Linked DNA regions of Caenorhabditis elegans. The protein of the gene in region 1 interacts with the protein of each later gene in a pairwise test. Each region holds a gene or a part of one and is shown on either strand. Other genes may lie near its edges. The genes, in order: ari-1.2 and zen-4.

Evidence for each region.
Region 2: the proteins of ari-1.2 (region 1) and zen-4 interact in a two-hybrid assay, tested with the Caenorhabditis elegans proteins (one large-scale study listed by BioGRID).

What each region holds. Positions count from the first base shown.
Region 1 is NC_003279.8:6,055,596-6,060,243, reverse strand, and holds ari-1.2 (RBR-type E3 ubiquitin transferase), read left to right. Parts: upstream 1-1,819; 5' UTR 1,820-1,935; intron 1,936-1,986; 5' UTR 1,987-2,014; coding exon 2,015-2,083; intron 2,084-2,127; coding exon 2,128-2,220; intron 2,221-2,268; coding exon 2,269-2,661; intron 2,662-2,704; coding exon 2,705-2,830; intron 2,831-2,881; coding exon 2,882-3,195; intron 3,196-3,246; coding exon 3,247-3,373; intron 3,374-3,422; coding exon 3,423-3,695; intron 3,696-3,741; coding exon 3,742-3,840; 3' UTR 3,841-4,113; downstream 4,114-4,648. Other genes in the region: E3 ubiquitin-protein ligase ari-1.1, read left to right, coding at 1-90, 282-407, 453-893, 944-1,216, 1,293-1,391; ari-1.3 (RBR-type E3 ubiquitin transferase), read left to right, coding at 4,424-4,489, 4,546-4,626.
Region 2 is NC_003282.8:6,116,406-6,122,586, reverse strand, and holds zen-4 (Kinesin-like protein), read right to left. Parts: upstream 4,373-6,181; 5' UTR 4,364-4,372; coding exon 3,921-4,363; intron 3,875-3,920; coding exon 3,626-3,874; intron 3,584-3,625; coding exon 3,278-3,583; intron 3,224-3,277; coding exon 2,974-3,223; intron 2,922-2,973; coding exon 2,739-2,921; intron 2,694-2,738; coding exon 1,971-2,693; intron 1,915-1,970; coding exon 1,828-1,914; coding exon of another isoform or gene 1,744-1,827; exon of another isoform or gene 1,688-1,743; coding exon 1,565-1,687; 3' UTR 1,490-1,564; exon of another isoform or gene 1,244-1,489; coding exon of another isoform or gene 1,151-1,243; 3' UTR 810-1,150; downstream 1-809. Other genes in the region: M03D4.4 (C2H2-type domain-containing protein), read left to right, coding at 363-467.

The DNA.
Region 1 (4,648 bases):
GCGTATTTAACTAATAAGATTGCAAACAATGCACAATCCGAAATAGAATGTATGGCTCCAAATTGCAAATTGCTCATAGAAGATGAAAAGGTGAGGAGAGCTGTCAAAATCAGTATTGATGAATACGATATAAAAGGAAGAAACCTTTTTTCTAAATAGAAAATTGGTAATTTTTCAAATACAGTGAAAATCAGCAGTATTAGTAAAACAAATTTTAAAAATTACCATAAAATGATAGCTTTCCAAAGTTAAATTTAAATTCAAAATAGTTTAATTTTCAGGTTATGTTCTACATTACCGACCCAACAGTAATTGCCACCTACAGAAAGCTGATTGTGGCTAGTTATGTGGAAACGAATCGTCTTCTCAAGTGGTGCCCCGGTATAGATTGTGGGAAAGCTGTTAGAGTGAGTGAATTTTCAGTTAAAAAATGATTTCAATCAAATTTGCAGGTCAGCCATTGGGAACCCCGCCTCGTCGTATGCTCCTGTGGATCTCGATTCTGCTTCTCTTGTGGTCACGATTGGCATGAACCAGTGAACTGTAGGCTGCTGAAGTTATGGCTTAAAAAGTGCAATGATGATAGTGAAACATCGAATTGGATTAATGCAAACACTAAAGAATGTCCAAAATGTATGATCACAATTGAAAAAGACGGTGGATGCAATCATATGACGTGTAAAAATACAGCATGCCGGTTCGAATTTTGTTGGATGTGCCTTGGTCCATGGGAACCTCATGGTTCATCATGGTATAGTTGTAATAGATTTGATGATTCTGCAGCTAAAAATGCTCGGGATGCTCAAGAAGTATCACGTGCAAATCTTCAAAGATATCTTTTCTATTATAATCGATATATGGGACATCAACAAAGTTTACGTTTGGAGGGAAAGGTTTGTTAGATTTAAATAGATTCATTTAATAATATTCAAATATTTTTTAGCTCTATGCAACCGTCAAATCAAAAATGGAGCAAATGCAGACACTTTCCATGTCTTGGATTGAAGTTCAATTCCTTCGGAAAGCTGTCGATGTATTGTCAGAATGCCGTCGGACACTGATGTTCACTTATGCATTCGCATTTTATTTGAAGCGAGATAATAACGCCATTATTTTTGAATCAAATCAAAAAGATCTCGAAATGGAAACAGAACAGCTGTCCGGGTTTTTGGAACGAGATTTAGACAATGAGAATCTGGTGACACTTAAACAAAAGGTAAATTGTTGATTTCTTATCAGCGAAAATTTAAATAAATTTTCTAATTGCAGTGTTCAAATTAAAAAATTTATAGGTCCAAGACAAGTACCGATACGTAGAACATCGCCGAAAAGTACTTCTAGACCATTGTTCCGAAGGAGCTGATCAAGAACTTTGGGTTTTCAACGAGTAATTATTTTTTTGACCAACATATTATTAGTATACTTTTTGTAAAATTTTTTTATTGTTTTGTAGATTATTTTTTCCAAATTCGATTCTTTCAATCAGTTTAACTGTCTACCCTACTTGTCTGTATGTTCATTTCCTGTCATTTACCATCACAATCCTTGTGCTCTCAGATGTTTTTTTTCTTTTCGGCCTAAAACATTTATGTGTATTTTTGTGTAGAATTTTCCAGTCCCACTTTTCCTCTATTCTAAACATCCTCTTTTCTAGACTACGGATTCCTTTTTTTCTGAGTATAAATTTTTGAACATTTTTTTGTTTTTTGTAAATTGCCATGTTATGTAACGTGGTTCTCTTCCATACTTATTTGACGAAGTGCTTCAACTGGAACGAAAAATAACTTTTATTAAACCCGAGATTTGAATTATATGCTAGATTTCGAAAAGTGCTCAGAACTTTATCCTCTCGTATCTCGTGCCGACGCACTCTTGTTTGCCTCACTATCTGCGTCTTTTTTCTGTACAAGCACACAGCTGTTTTCAATGCGCCAGGTCACTCTCTACTGCCTCGCGATATATTGTTATTAATTTTATCTTTTTGAGATAATCTCCTCATTTTTCCCTATTCAGCATGAATTCTGACGCTGAAATGAACACGGAAGACGGAGGTTCGAGTCCAGAGGAATTTGGAGAAGCGGACGTGAGTTGCTTTCAATTTTTGGGGAAAGAGAAACCGAATTTCAGTGTTTTTCCGAAGAAGAAGATGAAGAAATCGTGCTGGACACCAGTGATAATGATACTTCGTACGCCAAAGAAGACAAAAAATCGGAGAATGAGGTTATTTAACCGCGGTTTTGAAGCTGAAAATAATAAATATTTCTTTAGGTCCTCGACAACGACTTGTTGGAGGCTGAAATGAACACGACGATAGCTGATGTTCAAGCAGTTCTTCAAGTTGATCCCGGTGTTTGCCGAATTCTTCTACACAAATATAAATGGAATAAAGAATCATTGCTGGAACGATTATACGAACATCCCGACACAATTGCTTTTCTAATTGATGCACAAGTTATTCCACGTCAACAAGAAGTTATTCCAGCTGGTGATGCAGAATGTGACATTTGCTGCTCCATGGATGAACTTTCGGGTCTTTCATGTAATCATAGAGCTTGTGCAGAATGTTGGCAGGCATATTTGACCAATAAAATCGTAAGCGATGCTCAATCAGAGATAGAGTGTATGGCTCCAAATTGTAAACTGCTAATAGAAGATGAAAAGGTAAATTTTATAAACTTGAAATTATACTTTTAAATATTTTCAGGTACTCGCCTACATCAAAGATCCGACTATAATTGCGAAGTACCGTAAAATGATGGTGGCCAGCTACATAGAAATCAATGCGCTTCTGAAATGGTGTCCAGGGGTTGATTGTGGGAGAACTGTCAAGGTAAACCATTCTGAATTCAATGGAATCCATAAAATTTTGGCTATTTTCTAGGTTAGTCATGGCGAGCCTCGACTTGTCGTGTGCACTTGTGGATCTCGATTCTGTTTCTCTTGTGGCCAGGATTGGCATGAACCAGTAAACTGTCGGCTTCTGAAGTTATGGATGAAAAAGTGCAATGATGACAGTGAAACATCGAATTGGATCAATTCAAACACAAAAGAATGCCCGAAGTGTATGGCGACAATTGAGAAAAACGGTGGATGCAATCAGATTACCTGTAAGAACACTGGATGCAAGTTTCAATTTTGTTGGATGTGCCTCGGGCCGTGGACTGTTCATGCAAACGCATGGTATAAATGCAACAAGTGAGTTGGTCTCGATTTTTGAGATAATTGAAATAATTCAAAACATTCTAGATTTGACGACGAAGCATCTCAAACGGCCAGAACTGCACAAGAATTGTACCGTGCAAATTTGACACGTTATCTTTTTTACTACAATCGCTACATGGGACATTTACAAAGTTTGCGGTTGGAGGGAAAGGTATTCGATAATTCGTAGTTTAAATGTTGTATCAAAAATTGAATTCCAGTTGAACAAGACAGTTAAAGCGAAGATGGATCAAATGCAGAATCTCTCAATGTCTTGGATTGATGTTCAATTTCTACGAAAAGCGGTGGACGTGCTGTCGGAATGCCGTAACACGTTGATGTTCACATACATATTCGCGTTTTATTTGAAGCGAGACAACAATTCAATGATCTTCGAGTCAAATCAGAAGGATCTTGAAATGGAGACCGAGCAACTGTCCGGATTGTTGGAACGAGATCTTGAAAATGAGGACTTGTTGACTCTCAAGCAGAAGGTACTGAAAGAATATCTTATAAATTTGCAAACACTCTATTTTCCAGGTCCAAGACACATTCCGCTACGTGGAACACCGTCGCAAAGTACTCCTTGACCATTGCGCCGAAGGCACCGAACAAGACATTTGGCAGTACAACGAGTGAAATTTGATAATGATTGCAATAATGCTAATAATATTCTCGCTTCTAAAATAACTCAATATTCCTCAGGATTCTCACCACATTCACAAATCTCTGAAATTCTTTGAACCATATCATGTTGTTCCACATCATGTTGTTTTTGGATTAACTCGCGATAATTTCATATATTTTCATAAACAATAACGGCTTCTTTCTACTATATTTGGGTTGCACTACTCCATATCTTATTTTATTTTCAAATGTGATTGCGAAATTGAAATCATGAAATGTGAATTATTTCACAATATATTTACTTTCTCATACTGTCATTGTTATTTATCGATTGTCTATTTTACAGCCTGCTGGGCACTCTCAGCAGGCTCTCGCAGTCATCGATTACCTACTGCGCATCTTTAAATCTCATTCTCTTCATTTTCCGGTTCAATTGCCAGTTGAACCGAAAACTTGAATTAGTGCAATGGACTGTGGTGTCATTGCTCAGTTTTATCTTGAAAAAAAGTTTTATGCTAATTTTTCTTTTACTTAATAATTTTAGAAAAACTTATAATATGCTTTCTTCAAAAAATCTAACGTTAAAAATTTCAGAATGAATTCAGACGACGAGATATACATGGAAGGCAGTGCTTCCAGCGAAGACGATATGGATGATGAAGTAAGTCAAACAGTCATTTAATTATTTAATTTAAATATTTAAAATTTTATTTTCAGTGCCTCTCCGATGACGATGGAATCGCTCGCCATGATCAGTCCGCTTCAGATTATCTGAACAAAAAAGACAAGGATAATGAGGTAATGTTACGTTTTATTACTT
Region 2 (6,181 bases), on another chromosome or scaffold:
TTCATTTGTTTTAAAAAGTTCGTTATTCTGGGTTTACGGGAAAATAGCCAACGAGACCCATCGTTTGGGGGGATTAGCGGTTGAGCGCGTTTACACGTCGATTTCAAAAATGGATGTTTTCTGCGTCTCAATAATATATTTAAAACGTTCCCAGAATTTTTTTAACCGACCAAACTTCTGGAAAATCTTTAAAATAGTCCGACAAATTATTGTCTTGCAAACTTTTGCAAAGAAATTAAACTGGAGAGAAGAAAGTTAATAGCAATTTTTGAAAAAAACGGTGCGGCACGCTTGCAAATTTCATGCCAGACTTGCGGAAAATATTTCAAAATTTCCACTGTTTCAACGAATGTATATTTCAGATCATCGCAAATGTTTCCAATTTCTTGACAAATACAGCAACACCGGATAATATGTTCATGATGAATGCAGTAAATGTATTCACTCATCTTAAAAATACTCTCTAGGCAATTAATTTTCACCGATTTTCTTTTTTTTTTCTCATATTTCTCTCACCACGTGGTTTCTGATCTTGTCTCTCGCCTGGCTTTTCCCAATTTAACTTTAATTTTAAAAAATTAAATCTCTCTGATAATCAATATTTCTGACCTCTTTTTCATGATAATCCCTTTTTATTTTTCGATTGAATTATTTTTTGAAATACCAACCAAAAAATCAAAAAACGCGTATTAAATCATAATTATTTGTATAAAACCGTGCCTTTTTCCCACCATTTTCTATGTAACCCTCGACCTAAATCGGGTCTTATTTATTGAGATTCATTTTTTTGAACGAAAATAAAAGCTAACTTATTTTCATATTTTATATTCTTTGAGTTTAATTAAAATTAAAATACAAAAGCATTTACTAGTACACAAATCATCGTCGGGAATAAAAATGAACAGAGTTCTTCAGATCGATATCAAAAAATTGTGCGTAGAAGGAGAAAAAGACGAAGAAGTGAAAGATCATAAAAATGCGGTGAGGTCTACAAAAAAACAAGAGTTCTCTTCGAGTTCGGAAAATGGGATTATGAATGAGAAACATAATAAATTAATAAATATTTGGAGAAAATTTGAAGAGTATGGTACAAATTTGACATGAAAATGCAGCAGGATGGAGGTAAAAAGATCAAAGACGGCACTTATAATTACTTTCGTGTGCTCGGAGATTCGTGAGTGAGTCTCTCGATATCGTTGAAGAACACGGCAGTGCCACCGGAAACTGTTGGAATTACATTTCCCTGAAAAATTCGAGATGAGCAACAGATGAGAAAGTGGAACACAAAAATAAATGTATTTTTAAAGTTATATGACCTAAAACATTACATGAAAAACTGAAATTAAATGCATATAGAACTAGCACTAAATTAGTTAATTTTAAGCATGAAATTTTAACTCAAAAAGTATATATCAAGCAAATTCAGGCAGTTTTCTCAAGCACTACTAAAACAGTATCTAAAATAGCCAATAAACAATCAAAAACATACAACAAACACATAAAAATGTAAAAAGAGCAGCTTCATCTTCTCATTCCCCCAGCAAACATTCATTTCAAATAATTCTCATTCATCTTCTTCTTCAACATCATGATTAGAGTATATCGTTATCGATTTTACATCCGTACACGGTGAATACGAACTGCTTTGCGAGTCTTCCAGTTGAAGTTCTGGTGGTTTAGATGGTGCCTGTTAGAATGCGTTACGTGTGTGCTTTGTGAGAAGAAAAGACGGACAGTTTTGTATCAGGAAAGATGGGTGATAAGGACACGGGAAAACGACAACGGGACGGTACAGGCGTGTTTTTGGGTGGAAACCAAGGAATTTACCTTCACTATATTCGTGCTAATGTTTCCTTCATCGTCAACTTCTTGATGCGTGAGACGGTATTCTCCGGATTTGTTCAACTGATGCATCTGGAAAACAATTGAATTACAATAAAATTGCGGAATTTATTAATGTTTTTTCCTACCTCAGGTTTAGTAGTCCGTATGGCGTTAGCCGGTGTACGAGACTGAAGAACCGTTCCTGTTGGAACTCGATGAAGTGGCTGATGATCCAATAGACGAGATGCAGACTTGGATCTTCTTTGATATTTTGGATTAACGTAACCCTGTTGACCACTTCCTCCACTTGAAGATCCAGACATTACAGTGGTCGATGTAGTGGCTTCTAACCGTTTTTTGAAGACTGGAGCACGTCCTGGAGTTTGATATGGCGGTGGTGGAGTTTGGATTGGAGCTGTTGGATGAGCCACATTCTCTTGATCAAATCGTGATCGAAGAGAAGCAACAGACGGGGATGGATTATCAATAATTCCACGAACATTTCTCATCGCCTTCTTCTGTGACTGAATAATCTTCCTGTCCTCCATTTTTTGTTCCATAAGCTTTTCCATAACCAGAGCATTCTCTTGCTCTCCTTGCTCACACGAGGCAATTCGTTCCTTCATCGAAGCGTTCTCACGCTTATATCTTGAGCAGAAACCTCGAAGCTTCTTGATTTCTTCATCCTTGTCGTTTAGAGAATCTTTGAGACGTGCAATCTCTACTCGCTGGTAGTCTGCTTCCATCATGTATTGGCGAATCATAGTAAGAAGAGTTGAAGATGGTCCCTCTTCTGATGAATTTTGAAGAGATGAAAGTTTCCGAGCATACTTATACATGGAATCTACCGTATCTTTGTCATTGCAATCCTGGAAACAATTTGTTCAAAACCATTCAATTTGTGAAATTCTTACTGTCAAACAGAATGTCGGTGGGCACGGAATTTCTCTACTTCCATCATCCTCCATACGAACAGATCCATCTAGCTCAGAATTCCATTGGGTGAAGAATGAATGAGGAATCCGCTCGGATGGCATTCGTTCAACTTGCTTTTTCACTTCAATTGTTTGTGATTCTTCAGCGAAAGCTAGAGCACTCTGAAAGTTACGAATTTAAATAATTAGTAAATTCTTTGAATTCTGAACGAACCATGTTTTCATCGTAATCATCAGGCTTTGGATTCACACAAATAACCATTCTGATTTTTCCATTTCCTTCCAGATAGTTTTTGAATAAATGAGTCAATTTTGACTGGCGATATGGAACTTGCTCAAGGTTTTGTGAGGAACTCTTTTGGTTACGACGGAGTACTTCAATACACTGACGAAGAGTCATGAGGGACTGATTGATCGAGTTGGCTTCCGCAAGACGTTCACCAACATTCTGTGTGCGCTTTGCTCTAAAATTTTTCTCATTAAACATATATATTTCAGTTTACAACAAAAAAACAAACCTCTCAGATCCAGCCAAATCTACCAAACATAACTGCGAAACGATAATTTGCGATGAGTCCATTGTTGGATACACGCTTTTCGTCTCGTAGGCTCTCGGAGCCATAACCAATTTGATAGTGAATACGGAATGAGAACGGGATGAATCTTTGTTGAGAAGAGTGGACGATACACGACGACGTTCTTCTCCAAGGCAGAACACTTCGAGAGCTTCCTCGCTTGACGAGACTTCAACATCTTTGGCTCCGTCGACGTACATCTGTTGCTGACGATCATGACGAATTTCACGCTTCGTCAATACTCTGGAACTAGCGGAGGGTCACTATCAATTATTGCTCGATTTTTCTTACCCATTTCTGGCGTCTTCCAACAAATCGTAGCAATAATTGTTGTAGATTTCGACGTAGGTTACGAAAACCGAGCAAACCATATCGTCGTTGTAGCCTGACAGCTTTATAGCTTCACAGTAACGATCAGTGATTTCGCGTGATGTGGAAAGACGGTCTGCAGCCATTTGATGGCGTTTCAAGTGAGCATCCAATGTGGCACGGATCTCGAATGTATTCAGTGCTGATGGATAGAAGATGCATTTCTCAACTCTGGAAGAAAATAATATTATTTGCTTTTTTCGTTTCAAAAGCTTACCGATTATTAATACTATTGAAAATTACATCCAATGTACGCGGCAGTAGTCCTGTGCCGGTTTCAGTGGGTTTTCCCGTCATTGTATACGTTTTTCCAGATCCAGTAACTCCATAAGTGAATAACAACGAATTCTGACCTTTCAATAGGTTTAAAATTAAATCAACAGATGTCCGCTCAAAAACAGTAGCTTGTCCATCATTTTCCGAAAAAACTCGTCCAAATCTAAACACTTTCTCAACTTGTGGAGCGTTTTCGCGTCTGAACTGTGCTGGTGGAAGAACAGTTTGAATAGATCCCTCATCAATTGCAATAAGACTTGGAGTCGAGCCAGTATATGGACAAAGACGACAAACGACTTCGATACTGTCGGTTTCTTCAATCGATAACTTCTTCCGGCGGACTTGGTCTCGCGATGGAGTTATTCCTCGTTTACGCGACGACATTTTCTGAAATGAATTGAATTAAATAAAACAAGTTTTGTTATATTGATTTACAAAAACGGTTTTATTCCAAAAAACCGTGAAAAAATAACAAATTTCGAAGAAAAATCAACAAAAACAAGTCAAAGCAAACATGTGAGAACGGTTAGAATTCAAACTGGCGGCGGAGGGGGAGGGTGCGCAGTGAGACCAGCCACGCAGATAAATCTATGCGCCTTTAATACCTATGTCTGCGTCTCTCACACAAGGCAGCGAGAGTGGTACTCTTGTAATATTGCGGTGGCACTCGCTAGCTCGCGTTTTGTCCGCCGCCACCGTGTGCTATGGGCCTTCCTTCAGTGCGGGGAGTTGAGACTGTAATGGGTTCCGAAAGGATGAAAATCCTCAAAGTTCCTGATGTGGCCGCATCAAAGCACAGGTCGGATATGATTGTAGTGAGATATAATAAAAATCATTTAAAGACATAAAAATAAACACATAATACATAGGAAGATTAATAAAAAACATACGAATAAGTTACAAACAAGGAAATTAATTATCATCTGTAAAAGTTGAGGTGCCAATATAAGATTCGTTTTGCTAATTTTTAATAGAACTTTATATTCTTTTTGTGAAAAAGTGTCTTCGTAGTTTGGTTTTGTATTTCCCCCAGATTAACTTGGTTTTGGTTCTGGTTTTGTAGTTTTTGTCTATTTTTAAAAATTGGTCAGTGTCAATGTCAACTTTGTGTACTCTATCTCTATCAATTTTTAAGAGCCAAATGTACACAATAAGTTCTGCTGATTTCATAGTGAATAAATTTCTAGAAAAAAAAAACATGATATACCACAGTGCCAGTAGCCCAACAGTACAAAGAAAACATGTGAAGTTCACTAGAATATTCTACATTTGTTTACTTCTAGAATTATAATACTATAAAAATTAATTTTCAAGTCGTAGTAAAAAATCATTAGTAAAAGATAAAACGTAGTAAAAGAGCCAATTGTAGTACAAGATCAAGTAGTAAAACAGTATTTGCCAAAAAATTCAAATAACAGAAAAAGGGCATCCTTGGTGTTCAATCCAAGCGAGCAATGAATTCGGAGCAGTTCTGAATTTGGAAAAAATGTGCCAATTTGTTGAAAAATAATTCTTTCCACAGCAATTTCGAAGTTTATTTTTTAAAACCGTCCTTAAAAATCTCAGTGTTTTCCATTTCAGACTCAAGATTCCGTTTCAGATAAATCACGTCATGACGTATCTGAAAAGAGAAGGGCGACACATTAAGATTCAAAAATCGTCTGAATTCTTGCACTCGCATTAAATTATTTATAAGCTTCTTATATCTCTGATCATCAATCAAATGGGGTTCCCAGGATTTTAATTCTTGATTCGTTTTTTTTTTGCGAGGAGCAATGAGTGGGCGCAGCCGAATCGGGGAAGCCAAATTGTTGAAGATGCTCCCCAAATTATGAAACGTTTAAACAGGATTAAACATTCTATTACGGGCACACTAAATTCTGAGAATGCGTATTGAGCAACATATCTTACGCGCAAAATGTCTTGTAGCGAAAACTACAGTAATTTTTTTAAATGTCGATTTACGGGCGGAAAGTTCGAAACAAATTTATTTTCGAATTGTGACAGCGATATTTAAACTTCCTCCAATTTTTCGTTGAGCGTCAAATGTGATGCGCAATACGCATTCTCAGAATTTAGTGTTCCCGTAATATTTTTTGTTTTCACCCTTCGTGGGAAAACTACAGAATATTCTCAATTTTCTCCAGAAATCACCACACTCCAAACACTTGGAAACTCACGAGGTGGTTAATTACTGATTCT